Linked DNA regions of Lepisosteus oculatus. The protein of the gene in region 2 interacts with the protein of the main gene of each other region in a pairwise test. Links are inferred from orthologs where the notes say so. Each region holds a gene or a part of one and is shown on either strand. Other genes may lie near its edges.

Evidence for each region. The genes of interacting proteins can lie anywhere in the genome.
Region 1: the proteins of hoxa1a (region 2) and ccn3 interact in binary tests that used the Homo sapiens proteins (3 or more experiments, as listed by UniProt). The link is inferred for Lepisosteus oculatus from reciprocal best matches to the Homo sapiens genes HOXA1 and CCN3.

Annotation. Positions count from the first base shown.
Region 1 is NC_090705.1:11,431,393-11,439,016, forward strand, and holds the start of ccn3 (CCN family member 3), read right to left. Parts: upstream 3,011-7,624; 5' UTR 2,923-3,010; coding exon 2,857-2,922; intron 2,713-2,856; coding exon 2,484-2,712; intron 1,525-2,483; coding exon 1,273-1,524; intron 376-1,272; coding exon 161-375; intron 1-160. UniProt on the Homo sapiens protein: Immediate-early protein playing a role in various cellular processes including proliferation, adhesion, migration, differentiation and survival. Acts by binding to integrins or membrane receptors such as NOTCH1.
Region 2 is NC_090705.1:602,711-610,381, forward strand, and holds hoxa1a (homeobox protein Hox-A1a), read left to right. Parts: upstream 1-4,825; 5' UTR 4,826-4,931; coding exon 4,932-5,538; intron 5,539-5,863; coding exon 5,864-6,222; 3' UTR 6,223-7,154; downstream 7,155-7,671. Other genes in the region: hoxa2b (homeobox protein Hox-A2b), read left to right, coding at 1-655. UniProt on the Homo sapiens protein: Sequence-specific transcription factor. Regulates multiple developmental processes including brainstem, inner and outer ear, abducens nerve and cardiovascular development and morphogenesis as well as cognition and behavior.

The DNA.
Region 1 (7,624 bases), about 11 Mb from region 2:
AGTATATACGAGCTTCAGAGCGGAAAGACTAATTCATCGTATTGCGAAAAATTAACGACATGGAGCTTGTGCATCAAAGTTAAAGGGCTTTTTCATGCTGAATTAAGATGCAGTACCATCACTTTTTACACCAGTATAACGCAGGACTGACAAGTGATACCTTGGCGGCATCACTTCGCTCCTGTTCGCCGCAGGGTCTGACGAGACAGAGGCGGCTCTGCTTCACCATCTCGCAGCGTCGGTTCCGATTCGTGACCCGCGTTGAGACACCCATCCCGCAGGTCCGCGAGCAGGCCCCCCACTCTGTGGTCTGCTCGATGCAGTTGAGACCGGGGTCTAAGATGTCAATTCCAGCCGTTCCCTCCTGCCTGTAAGCTAAAGTTACATTTAAAGCAAAGAAAAATGGTTAAAAATGTCCTTGTTTAATCTATATAAAAACAGGTTCAGTTGCTAGACGTTGCTTGTATGTCACCTGCTTCTTTTTATGCTTTGGATAATGGTTAGGATGTTAGGGAAAACCCCTTTCTAACCTAAAGATGAAAACGTCTCTTTTTCCAATTAAAACTGTGGTTTGTGATCCTACAGTTTCAGGTATTGCTGGCAGTAGACACAGTTCATCTGTATTTATATAGAGTTTTTCAAAGCTTTTTCACTCAATTAAAATTTGCCGAAAGTTGATATATAAAGTATAAACATGCTAATCAAACTCGAGGCACTACAGGTAATGTTTTTCACTTCAACACGGTGGTCGAGTTTTAGGTGGGTTTTATCAACAGTGCTTGGAAAGTTGTCTCATTAGTGTATTTCTTGAGGTACTGTATCTGTCGCAAAGGGGAGTAGGTCTGACAGCCCAAAGTGAGGTTTTTATTTTAGCTTTTTGGAGCTGCTGGAACAGACCTTTTGGGAAATAGTTGAAGCAGTACTCTAAATAGTAATGAAGAGTTCTCCATGTCAGACTTTAGCGACACTGCCACAAATCAGACAGGGCCTTAGAGCCAAACACTGATTTTCATCAAGAAAGCTTTAAAGAGTGAAAGTGTCCACATATAAACAAACAAATGAAAACCATAAAGGAAAAAAAGCATCGAAAAAAATACTTATTTCAAATCGGACCACTGCAGTATGAGAGCTCGCTAGATTTGCAGTATGGCCCCATGACCTTTGGCTGCCCTGTAGTTATCTCTCATCTTGGTGCAGAGTAGCCGCAGCTGTTGATTTAAAGCGGTTACCACTGGGGTGTCTATCGGTTGGTCGGTCGAAGCCATTCCTCACCCGCCATCGCCAAGCCCCCCAGCGAGGTGTGTGCCCTGGAGTCGCACACCCAGGTCTCGCAGCACTCTCCTGGCAGCCGCGCTCTCCGGGGGAAGGGGCAGGAGGGGCCCGGCAGCAGGACGTCCAGGTTACAGCGGGGGACGCAGCCGATCTCTCCGTCCCTGCAGGCGCACTGATACTGGCAGCTGGGGAAGAAGGTTTCCCCGTTTTGATAGACGGAGCCATCCAACACGCAGATGTCTCCTTCCCGGGCTGTAAACAAGGGGAGGGGGCAGCCGAGGAACGTATTTAAATACCGCGCGTTTTGTGGCAGCTCTGCGTTCAAGATTTATGAGGTTCCGGTTTAGAGAAAATGATAGAGCAGTGCAAAATGCTCAGTAGGGTGGGAATCTGCGACCTCTGCTCCAGCAACGGTTTTTTTTAATCTCGCAGAGACGCTAGGAGATGAGAAACTGAAGACAACATTTTTCTCTTTACATTTACAGGTATGGACTCATAATCTGACGTTTGTAAAAAAAAATAAACATACTTGAGAATAAACAAATATGCGTTTTAAACCACGATCCGATAAGAATACTATTCCTGGAATACTGAATTAAAATACAGATTTAAAACTTTGGGTTGACTATCTAATCCATCACTTTAAGTACCAAACTTTTTAATGTAAAGACCTTTAAGATCAGGGATAGAAACACTCATCGAAAACAATTACAAAGAAATCCAAATAAAAAAAATCACAGAAAGCAAAAATTTTGAAATACAAATTAGGTTTACTGCTGGCACTTTAAGAGGCCAATAAATCCTTAACAGGATTTTAACAACCATAACTCATCTAAAAAGTCTGTGAATGTCCATTTTTCGCTGTGGCATAATTTAATTGTGTAAAATAGAAACCTAACTACCATTGACCAATGGTAAATTTGTATTTCTGCATCAGAGGACGCCAGTGAACAGGTGTTTTTAATAACTAAATTTAGGTATCTGAGCGTCCAGGACATAATTTACTTTTCAATCTTAATGAATCAAGAGATTCAAAGAGTTACGCAGCACAGATTATTTTTCCCCCAAATTTTCCAGCGCATGCCTGTAGCTGTATTGTCCTATTTTTTAACGGATTTAGTTCTTGCTTTAAGGTGCAAACTGCATTCAAACATACACCTGAAAGACACCAACAATTACGAAAATTAAAAGATCACGAACTCTTTGCTCACCCACGCAAACACCGGTCTGCTCATTGACTCCTGCGGTATAATCGCAATGCAGGCCCTTACGGGTGTCGCAGGGGTATCTCTCTGAGCAACTTTCGCCTTTCTGGCGAGCGCAAACGAGGCAGCAAGCGCAGTCGTCCAGCACCAGCTGAATCCCAGGAGGGCACAGAGGTGCCTCTTCAGGACACCTGCACTGAGGTGAGCACGCATGGCCTGTCGCCAGGGAGCACAACTGTAATAATAATAATAATAATAATAATAATAATATCATCACTGGACTAGCAAAAATAAGAAGATGGGGTATCGATATTTTTCTAACCGAATTAGAAAAACAACAACATTAATGCTTTACAAAAAAATGATAAAAAAAACTCACCGTTGCAAAAGCGCTGAACAAGAACAGACGCATAGCTCCGTTTATATTTTGACTTTTTGTTTGCATTATCTTCTTTAGGTTTTCGCCCTCCCTGCTATTTTGAGTCTTCCAATTCCTTTATCCATGAAGTTAAATGTTCTGCTGAACTATTTATAAAGCCCTCTGGACATGCGTCGCGGTGATTGGGCAGGCTGTAGGGCGAAAGAAAACCAATGAATTAATGCAGGAAAACCGCTGTAGCTCTAGTTTGCCTTTCTCCGATTGGATGACTGATAACTCATATTGGCAACACACCTTCAAAAATGTTCGGCTTCCGACAGAGTAGCCAAACTGATGCTGTAGAGACAGTGTGCTAACATTTTCTTCAAAATGAGTACGGTTCGACGTTCCTGTGAAAAATGTCAATATGAAAACAACTGCATGAATAGATAAATCAATAGTTGTCTTAACATTAATCAAGATGTACTGAGATACATTCAAAACTCAACAAAATGAGTATTGGAAAATATTTTAATTCCTCTCGGTATATAAATCGCATTCATTCGAAATCCCAAGTTTGATTACCGTACACCAGAAACATTATTGTTAGTGCTCTCCTGCACGATATTATTGTCGGACAGCTTTCCTGGCAACAATTAAGTTAAGTATTTAAGTTTATTATTATTGAAAAAGAAGCAGCCGCGTTACTGTATAACTTCACAAGTGATGGTGGTCATTTTCAGTTCACATCGAAGTAATAAAAATGAGTGCTTCCTCTCTTCCCGTGACTGTAAATTATGAGACATCAGGAAACTCTAACGACCACTTAATTTTAAAAAAAGAATTTCATTAAACCGGATTTGCTGTTTCCAAACTCTTCATTTCACTTGGGATTAGTGTAAGAAAGATTGATTTTAAAAGAAAACAGACCATCATTTAATAACATTTACTGCTTTAATGCTTTTCTTTTTTGTGTGTCAAACGTGTTGAGCTGTTTTCTCCTGTAATTTTAAATGGATATCCCAGTTCGTGGTGAAGTGAATCAGATTTATAAATTACTTTTATTTCAAGGTGGAAATGCAAATAACATTATTCACATCTAGTTAAATAGTTTTACACTGGAAGCTGAAAAATGTCAGACTTAACAGTTCTGTGTTTGCCGCGTTTGTCTGAGTTACCCAGACTAGGATCCTGTACATTCAGTGTCAAGGTGCACATCATTAGAAGATAAATTCTGGCAGTGCCCATTCCTGGTTTGTAAAAAGCTACTATAATGTTATCAATATTAAAGCAGTGGAGGAGCAGAAATGGTTTGGTGTTGCCATGGATACTGCTACTCATTTTGAAGGTAATTTAAAATGTTGTAAAAATGTTTACTTTCTGTCTGTCCACAGGGACAGAAATCCTATCTGTTATCAATTTAGGATAAAGTATTAGATCTTATACAGGACAGGAAAATAAGTTTGAAGGGAACTTCAGAATTTGAGTTGTATTCCTGTTTCTAACCCACTAATTTCTGAAAGATCTACTTATAAAAGAGTTCTCCTTATTAAACTAAATTCAGTTTTTTTTTCCAAAAGGTTGTCTAATTGTTTTCACATTATTTTTCATATACCGTGCTTGTTTTTAATAGCTTACAGGTTTATCTGTGGTTTAAAAATGCAGAATGATGTAAATGTATGTTGTACTGTATATGCAAACTCACAATAGGAACTTTTTTTTGAAGAACAAGTTTGTTTAGAAATGGGGTCCATACAAGTTCCATGGGATTGTATGGTGAAAGATCTGAGAACAATTATACAAAATACAGTATGTCTTATTTGCTTCTTAGGATGAGTTTTTACATAGCTGTTATTTGTAGTCATTATGATGAGCAACCATAACTTGTAGGAAAATTGCCTAATGCATCATATAGTGACCAAGAAACTATTGATATATCTTATGTTTCTAACATAACATTAATTGAACTTCTCCAGCCCTGTTTTAAGTTGAATTACTGAAGACCAAATGGAAAAATCTACACACCTCCTACTTTTCCCACTTAAAAATCTCAAATTGCCATGAAATAGCTTACGATATTGCCAACAATAAATTGTGTAGAAAAAATTGCAGAAAAGTGAAATGTATTGAAGTCCATTATTTCTAGCAATGCTTGCCAAATGTAGGCTCACCATTATAAGATCATTTAGGGCTACAGAGACTAATTCAAGCTGAACATTATGATGAGAAAAAAAAAACTTCCATCACACTGCCTTAAGGCAGTAGCGAATAATGTAAAATTATTATGTTTTGCAAAGTGTATCTTTACAAAACTTCTAAAAAGGTGTCTTTGCAAAATGCACGACAAGAATTCTCATTGTTACACCATTAAATATTCCTTTAATAGACTTAATATTGTAATGCAACTAAGTTAATGTTCCTGTCTGTAACTTATTGTTTAGTTTTTAGACTTTTAACCTGAGAGAAAAGTTAGTATGACAAATTGTTTTTCTCTGCAGAGGCAACATTAGAGATTTTGTGTAAATAAAAAATATGTGAAAATGAAAAAAAAATGGTTTGCTAGTTACTGTAGGTGCTTCTTTCTCTTAAAAAATCTCTTCACCATATGTATGTATCATTATTGTATAGCCATGGTCTATGTACAGTATACTTTTTTCTGTAAGAATAACAATTTAGTTCTGTATCATGTGAATCATAAATCAGTACAATAGTCATTATTGGGCATACCATATACAGTAAGACCAGATTTCAAATTAAATTAAATTAAAATACTCTAAATAATTTTATCTAGCAGGCAGTAATAGGAATTAAGGAATCAGAATCCTAGTGTAATTTCTTGGACTAACTATTGTTTCAACATTTCAACTATCGATCTGCAGTGCTACAATTTGTTGTCACTGTTTGAACTTACAATCATGACACTGTCAAATATGATTTTATATTTAGAATCTGCAAAGTCTACTCCAAACTACTAAATTAAAATAAATCCTGATTGTAAATTAGTTATTGTAAGATTGTAAGATTCAGAATTTCTTAAGTATTCAACCCTTTTTCTGCAGAAACCATAAATCAGTTAAGGTGGAACAGATTAGTTTGAGAGCTGACAAAAGTAGTGTAATGGACTTTCTGTGTAATCAATGAGATTTAACTTGACTTCAGACTACAAGGATCTGTCTCTGTAAATTCCCTCAGGGACTGAATTTCAAGCCACAGCTCAAATATCACTGATGAAACAAACCAACTACAAATAGCAAGGATAACACGAACCCAAACTTTACTTGTTCTTTATTAATTTACTCATTGTTTTAACATTTTTTCCTAATTAATTAAAAATTGTAGCTATAGATCTCAGTTTAGCAAACATATTTATATTGTGAACGGTACTGTACATATTTATACTTTACATATTTGTACTTCTATATAACATTTTGATATCAAAGTCTGTAAGAGAAACACGTTTCTAAACCATAACAAACGTCAATAGAGCAGAGCAGAGTTGTGAAGCCTACCTACGCACATTAATGTAGCTTGTGAAATGTTTCTGTTGAATGCTACATGTCTCCACAGATAGCACAAACACTACAGGCACAATGAATAATGCATGATCAGACTGAAGTATTAGTATTGGGTTATGTTCAGGCTGTCTACATTGCTAACATTTTCTTCATAAGTTGATGGGATAAGGAAAATCTATCTCTGTATTGTATTTTTTTGACATACTGGTTTGCTAGTGGCACAAAGTAACAGAATTTAAACACAAATAACCAAAGAACGCAAGAAAAATAGCAGACAGGGTTGTGAATGCCAAATGAGATTAGCAGATCATCAGCGGCACTAAAAACCTGTTAATGGAACACACAAACAGAAACAAGGACATGCTGTAAGAATGTTTACCCATTTTCAAAATGAAAAATAAAATGTATGCAAACTTAAAAACAAATATTGATTCCACTTTATTTGTATTATTTTAAGAGCAGAACTAAGAGATTGATTTTACCCAGAAATGAATACTGAAAATACAGTATGTGAGAAAAGTGGAGTTATTTGTTACACATGTAAGAAAATGTAGAACTTGGCATGACAGAAAATTACTGATCCAAGCAATAACTCTATGAAGCATTTGTATTTTATTTAATATTATTTAATCAGATTATTACAAAATGAAGAACAATTAACAGAAACATACAAGGCATCATGTCATGTGTGCATCTTGTTCAATTTGTGAAGACAAAATGACAAAACAGTCATTAACACCATTTGTTAAGCTTTGGCATGATCTTAGATACCATGGCATGCAACAGAAAGGTCCAGTTAAAATGTACATTTTGTGTGTTGGGCAGTAAACTGGATAGAAAGTTTAGGCAGGGTGGTTGTAGATTGGCCTGCTGTTCAGGGACTAACCACTTCATCACATCTAGAATATGTGGTCACATCAATAGCTGCATTTTTCCTTGCTGCTGGAAAAAAAGTTAGACTTTGTTTAAAATCATTGCCATAATAATTACTGTAAATGATATATAATTATTATTCAGTTGGAAGCATTTGCTATAGTTCCATTTTTACAAATAAAATTATTCTCTAAATTGCTATATCAAATGCAACAAAATCTCGTTAACATCTGTTCACTGTATTCATTAATGCCACATGAATAATATTGCTAATGTTGCTAGTGTTGTTGCCAGAATATGTCATAAAGTAAGTAAGGAATGGAACATTTTGAGCCTGTACTCAAAAGCCCATTCATTTGTGTAATGCTGTCATGTTTAGAAAACTTCACAAATTAGAAGAA
Region 2 (7,671 bases):
GCTGGAGAAGGAATTTCATTTCAACAAGTATCTGTGCCGACCGAGAAGGGTGGAGATAGCGGCTTTGCTAGATCTGACTGAGAGGCAAGTCAAAGTGTGGTTTCAGAACAGGCGAATGAAGCACAAAAGGCAAACCCAGTGCAAAGAGAATCACAACGGCGAGGGGAAGCTCAGGAACCCGGAGGACGGCGGGCAGAGCGAGGAGGAGAAGTCGCTTTTCGAGCAAGCCCTCAACAATGTCTCAGGAGCCCTCTTGGAAAGGGAGGGCTACGCTTTTCAACAAAATTCTCTGACTCCACAACAGGCTCCGAACGCGCACAATGGAGATTCCCAAAGTTTTACTGTGTCGCCTTTAAGCAGCAATGACAAAAATCTGAAACATTTTCAGAGCCCGTCACCCACTGTTCAGAACTGCCTGTCAACAATGGCCCATGACTGCACAGCTGGCCTCCACAATGACAGCCCCGAGGCCCTGGACGTGTCCTCTTTACAGGATTTTAACGTTTTCTCTTCAGATTCCTGCCTGCACCTTTCAGATGCCGTTTCCCCTAGTTTGCCAGAGTCTCTCGACAGCCCTGTAGACATTTCTGCCGACAGTTTTGATTTTTTCTCGGACACTCTCACAACAATCGACTTGCAGCATCTCAGCTATTAAATGGGGGGGGGAAAATCCGGTCTAGCGACTCTTCATTGCAAAAAGAAAAAAAAAACTATGCCTTCTCCTTTATTCTAAGTTGATTTGTTTATTTCTTTCTTTGATATGGTCAGTACATTTTGTTTATTAATGAATGAATTAGTTAATTCAGTACAGAAGATAAAAGTCCACGCTCTAATTTTTGTAAAAGTTTAGTCTGGCAATAATTACAATTAACCATTTAAACATTAATTCTCCAAAAGCAATACATTGGTTCTGTAAAAAAAAATAGAATTTAGTCTCTGTTCTTTTATTTTTGTATCGCTTTCGGGTACATTGTCATGAATATTTTGTTAGAATAAATTTTACTTGCTACAGGTAGCTTTCAATAATTGTGTCACTGCATTATTTCCAGGTCCAAATGAAAATTAAAATGTATTTTTATATTACCCGCCTCTCAAACAACACGAGATTGAACAAAATGGAAGGTCAGAATATTTTATTATTCCACAACAAATCAAAAATGAACATAAAGAAAGGTACAATGTTAAACGTATTTTAGAAAAATAACAGTAAAGTATACATTTAAATGTATCAGCAATTAACTTTTTAAAATTAAATTTATGAGTCAAATTTTCAAATTCGTTTTCAAAAATATAATTTGTATAATCTGTACAGGATAATATTTGGGTGTAATTCCTAAAACTACTTATTATTACCATCACCAATAATAATAATAATAATAATAATAATAATAATAATAATAATAATAATAATAATAATAATAATATAATGTTTTCCATTGTGTCTCTCTCTTGAAACCCAAAACTATTCTTCGTTCCCGAACCTAAAATAAGATAAAAAGTATTTACTAAAACAAACAGCAATTTCAAAGTTTTACAGGCATGTTCTTTTTCTTTCATAACAACAAAAACTTTAAAAGCGCAGTTAGTGCAAAAGACCGTTTCACCGAGTTTCAATCTCGCAGGACGTGGTGGAATGGGATTCTGCCGGGTGAGCTCAGGCAGTAGCTGAACACGAACAACTAGAAAGAGCTTCCAGCGGGGAAATGTCTAAATGAATTAAATATAGTTTCATATAGGAATCTTTCGGGATGCTGCATTCGGTGCATAGTCGGAAATAGAAAACTCTTGGACAGGCATAGGTAATTTTGCACTTTAAAATAAAACATTGAATAATCTTAATATTGTTTAAGTTAAAACGCACTGTATCGTAGCCTTCTGTAGTTTACAGCCTTCGTCCTTTTAAAAGACAGGCACAGAGTTATTGTTACGGCTTACACTTGGTATCTGTGGAAATCAAACTTCGTATTGCTGGAGTTTGTGCAAAAAGCGGCTTTATGCAGACTAGAGCCCGGCTTCTCAGAAAGCGCCCTGGCTTAGTTTGTATTACTCTGCAAAACGTGATGGAATTGCGTAAGAAGTGGCTGGAAGGCCTGGATGAAATTCTTCCCAAACTCATAAATCAAACTCTCTTTTATGAATGAGAATGTCATCAAAGAGATCAATTGCAGGAGCACATGCACAAATAAAAACCTCTTACGTATTTGGAGGGACTGGGGATTCCCAGCCAAAAGCATTAACTTTGTAGGCGTTCGGCAGTAATTCATTTTTATTGCCATTTAAACCAGCAGAGCGGCCTGAGAACGGCCGCCGATGCACCGAGATGCTCTCTGCTCAACTCAGAGCGGGTGTTACAATCTCTTTAAGTGCACTTTTAAAATATATATAATATTCTTCGATTTGTTTAGTTAAAAGTTTATGTTCACATTTAACAATGGACTTCAAATCGACATAAACGTAGTTTGTCTTATGCACCAAAATATATGTATATTTAAGATTATTTTTATATAGTTTTTCCTAAAAGGGTGTCTATAGTGAGCCTTTCTATTTAGTCAATAAAATTATTCTTCTTTATTATCCACATTCTATGCCTCATCCAGAGATTGTAATTTGTTATTACGATGATATTTTCCTCTAATTTGGAATCGATCGAACATTATTAAATCTATTAAACTGTAAACCACATAGGCAATAACGTGACATTTTGCCAATTATATGTTGCCATAAAGCAAATTTTCTCTGGACACAAACATCTAGAAACCTTTAAAGAATGAAGACTTTTTCGGGACTATCTCCCACGCTGGCGAATCGACGGTTTTGAAAGGAATTGTATCAGAGTGCCCCTGAAACAATACCTCCTTTCTTTCGCAACTCCGGCTGTCAACAATTCGCATTTTAAAGACGTGGGCGATGTGGAAACTTCACAGAGCTGGACAGGCCTGTTAATGTATTTCTGGGTTTTTTTTATTGTGATGGTAAGTTTACATGCCTTTCCATTTTGTGCGTTCTATCTTATAAGGTATACTATTTTTTTGTATGTGAAAAAAAACACAAAACAGTGCAGATTGTGCACACGTACTAAACGACATACGTTCATCTGGCAATATTTGAAAGCTTAAATGTGTAGTTACTGCAGACAGAGCTGGGCGTTGTGAAAGAGCCACCTTTCCTGAATCCCTGGATTCAAGCGAGATCGCCATCTTATTGCACAGCGCTGACCACGGAGTCTCGCCTTGTGTAAGGTCGCAGTGGAAACAGGGCCGGTGGACAAAACACCACGTAATCGGGAAAGCCTAAATATACATATTGGGTATATGATAACAGCAATAGAATAAATGTGCATTGTAGGATAACTAAATTAACGCCGGGTAATTTCGTTATCGATTAATCGATGGATACGTTTAATCATGCTGACGCACAAACAAGTTTAGGGGTGAATGGCTAAAATATTCCATTCTGGAACCACTACGCTATTATAGGAAACCTTCTGTGGGGTGGCATGTTTCGATATTACTCTTCTTCAGCTGTTGCTCGTGCCATTTAGACATTTGTATGCCAGTTTAGATGGTTTTGTCTGACCGACATAGCCCCTTTACAACTTTTTATCGAATTAAGAGAAATTACGTCCTAAAAAGCATTAAGTATTTAGAGGAACGGTTTCGGAAGCTGTGCTAAAAAAAAAACGAATGAAGAGAGTCACGTCAGCTATATTGTGAGGGAAACCGCACACCAGGCGGGATAAAGTCTTATTTGTAGAGTTGAATGGTTGGTCTCTCAAAGTTGGCTCGTCTCTACAGACCCAGCGGATATGAGCAGATGAACCGCGTCACAGCTCCCCTCTCAGGCTCCGCCCATTTCAGGGGTTTCCCAGGCCGGTCCTGAAGGGGCGCGATCCTGAAGGTTTTCTAGGTCTCCTGAGATCAGCGGCACCTCCAGACTTGAGAAAATCTGCTCAACTCTTCCATCGAAGCCAATAAGTAGCTAAATTAGACCATTGACGGCTGTGCTGCGATGAAAGCCAGCAGGACTGCGAGCCTCCGGGGCTAGGCTTGGGAAACCAAGACCTATATCGTAGAATGAAAGACGTGTCGGTTTAGACTGTAGTCCAGCCTGTGTTCACCTCCAGCCGCCGGAGAAGGTGATGCGCGGAGCTCAGAGCGCTCTGATAGCATCGCTGACTTTGGTTACAGAAGGCTCTCATCTCCATGCCGACAGCTGTGAACACACACAGACACCTGATAGGATGCGACCTGTCTGCCGGCTCTCGAATGCTGACGAGCAGCAACTTCAATCCAAGCATCGACCCCCAGCTAAATGTTGAATCGAGCTCACCTTGTCTTTTCACACTACAACACTCAGAAGGCAAACGTGAAATACATGCTAAATTCCAAATCCCACTTTATAAATGTGCCCCAAAGACATATTTAATCTTAGACTTGATGTTGACTACAATAATACGTTCAGTTAAACAGAAAACATTTCACAACCAGAGATGGCGCTTTTCTTACCTTGTGCTTAAGTGATGCTGAAACAGCTGTGCTTTCGGGATGGAAAAGCGAGAAAAGAAGAAACGTTATCCATCAGGAACATGGGCTGTTTATTGTCTCGAGAAGTGTCCTGAACGATTTCCGCTGCACTCTGTCTCGCCCATTGTTTGAACTAGCAATACATTACGGGCTGGTGTGCGTCACCTTGATAGAGGAGCGTGGAGAATTTAAATGTCTGTAAACCGGTGATCTATCACCGCCAGCAGAAGGCTATCTCAGCACCGCTGTGCAGCCACTGGCGGACACGAGTCACGTGACCCCCGCTCCTCATTCATATCGGTCTGTGCTGGCCCGATGGACGAACTGGGCAAGTTGGCACGGTCACCCGGGCTGGAGCACGGTCATCGCTTCAGACCTGACCAGTCGTGACAGGTAGACAATGCTACAATGAGCTCCTTCTTAGATTACCCTGTGATCAGCGGAGAAACCGCATCCTGCTCCTCCAGGGCTTTTCACCCAGACCATGGGATTACAACTTTCCCGTCGTGCTCTGTCACAACTAATACCTGCGGCGCTGACGATCGCTTTGGCGTGGGCAGGGGCTCGCCAGGGGGCATTCCTCACCACCCTCACCAGCCGGCCGCCTACCAGCCTCACAGCAGCCTGAGCCTCACCTACCCCAGTCACCCCAGCTGTGGCGCGGGGTATGCCACACAGGGCTTCTGTGCGAGTTACAATCATTACCCACTGAACCAAGACGTGGAGTCTAGCGCGGGGTACCCTCAGTGCGCCCCAGCAGTTTACTCGGGGAACATTTCGGCTTCCATGGTGCAGCACCACCAGGGCTACACCGGAGCGTCGGTGGGGGTACTTCCGTACACGCACGGCGCTTACGGCCACGAGCAGGCGAACCTGCCCCTTCCCGGCTACACGAACCCCCTGTCTCCTCTCCACGCCTCTCACCACGACCCCTGCTGCTCTCCTCTGGCCGAGACATCGCCCCAAGCACAGACCTTTGACTGGATGAAAGTCAAAAGAAATCCGCCCAAGACCGGTGAGTGTCACGCTGTTGCGCACCTTTCTGACCGTTGATGTGTCTTTCTGCGACGCTTAAGGAAAACTGAATTCAACAGTTTATTTCTGTATCGTTTAGTTGTGTTGTACTGTTGTCATGCAAAAAGCACATGTGACGAGATTCTGTAACCCTTGTGCGTTTCCTCAAGGAGCACCTATTCTATACCCAGCCTGTGGAAGTCGACCTCAAAGTGTTTTCCACCTGTTCGCCCGGTTTTGTCATTAAGCGCACATCCTCTGTGATGTTCTCTCACACGAATGTCGATGCTCAGGCTGACATCCTCTGCACTTTTTTTGGTTTCCAGGGAAAGTTGGAGAATACGGTTTCGCCGGCCAGCCCAACACGGTGAGAACGAACTTCACCACCAAGCAGCTGACGGAGCTGGAGAAGGAGTTTCATTTCAACAAGTACCTCACGCGAGCCAGGCGGGTGGAGATCGCAGCAGCTCTGCAGCTCAACGAGACTCAGGTGAAAATCTGGTTCCAGAACCGGAGGATGAAGCAAAAGAAACGCGAGAAAGAAGGTCTGTTGCCGAGTTCTCCGTCGGCAGCAGCAGAAAGCGAAGAAAGAGAAGACGCGTCGGAAAGATCCCTTTCCGCCCCTTCGACACCTTCTCCAGCCTCATCCTCAGCGTCCACCGCGGAGACGTGTCCCTCCAGCTGAAGCTCCTGAGCAGCGCGCTGACAGACCAGCCTGTCATGCGGCTGCACCTCTGAGCTCCAGTCATACTCATCGGAGGAATGTGGCAGATTGCATTGTCCGCATTTTATCATGTTGTTTTAGTGATATAGAGCAAGTAAGTGCTGGGATTTAGATGATCGGAATTTCAATGACAACAATATGTATTAAAACACAAGACAGATGACACAGTACATACTGCAGTCAGCAAGCTGTTTTCAACCACATGTGTAACTTCCCCATAATTTCAGGTGATGATGACAAATCTAGAGAAATGCACTAAATGCAGAGAGTTTGCAGTCGGGTGATCTTGCCTAAACTCTTCAGCTTATGATTTGCAATTATGTAATTACTTTGATGCAGTTATAATATGTGTATTTAATCCATTTTTTAGAATCTCTTTTTACATAACGACGGTAAGATGTTAAGGGTATAGAAAGACACAACTTAGGAGCGATCTTACATTTTTTTTATTTTATACAGGAAAAAACGATAATGAAAAACAGATACCTCATAAAGAAGACAAGCTCACTTTATTGTAAATTGTGTTTATTTGTGTGAAATAAAACGAAATTGCACTGAAACGTTTTACTATTGAAATGTTCAAAGTGGGCTCATCCCGAGCCTGTGAAGTCGCACACTTTAAATACCTCGGAATACCAAGTTGTATTTGACACCTGTGTTCGTGACGACGTCTGCATGATGCACAGCGCTTTGATGTACCTCCCTTAACACTGAGTTTTATCAGTTGTAAAAGTATATTTCTGTACAAGCGAAGAAACTATAACAACACATGTAATGTATTTGAATCGAGTAAAGTTTACGGGTCTATGTATGATATGTATTAAAACTATCCTGCTTCTAAACAAACCAGAAATGACTTTTTTTTCCCACAACAGGGTTAGGAGTTAATTTGGGATCATAACTTAGTTCGTTTTAATATAAAGGTAGTATAGTCTACCTGCACATACCTGCGCATTTTATTGCTAAACAGTTTTCTCCTCATTAGCCTCTCATTAGCCTCAAAATGACGAATATTTTTCAGCTTCCCTTTGGAGTTTGTATGGCAGAGAGAAAGAATTCCAGTCGAATTCCAGTCTCCGGGCCCTTTCATCTGACGTCGCAGAAGCTACTGACATGAAAGTCAACACCGCAGTCTCCAGAACGAGCCTTTTCATGGAGTTTGCCTGCAGTGCTACACCGAAGGGGCCATAATGTTTAACTTTAAAGGCCGGAGAAAACAAAACCGAGAAAAATACTTATTTTCTTTTTGACCGGATCCTAAGAAGCCTTTTTTTTGCACGCTACAGCATGGCAGCATGTGTAGTCTGTTTGCACTAGATTTTTACAGACCGTGCGCGAATACTATAGAGGAGCATTTTCTTAATTATAATCTTAGTCATTCTACAATTCCATTAAACTATTGGATAAAAG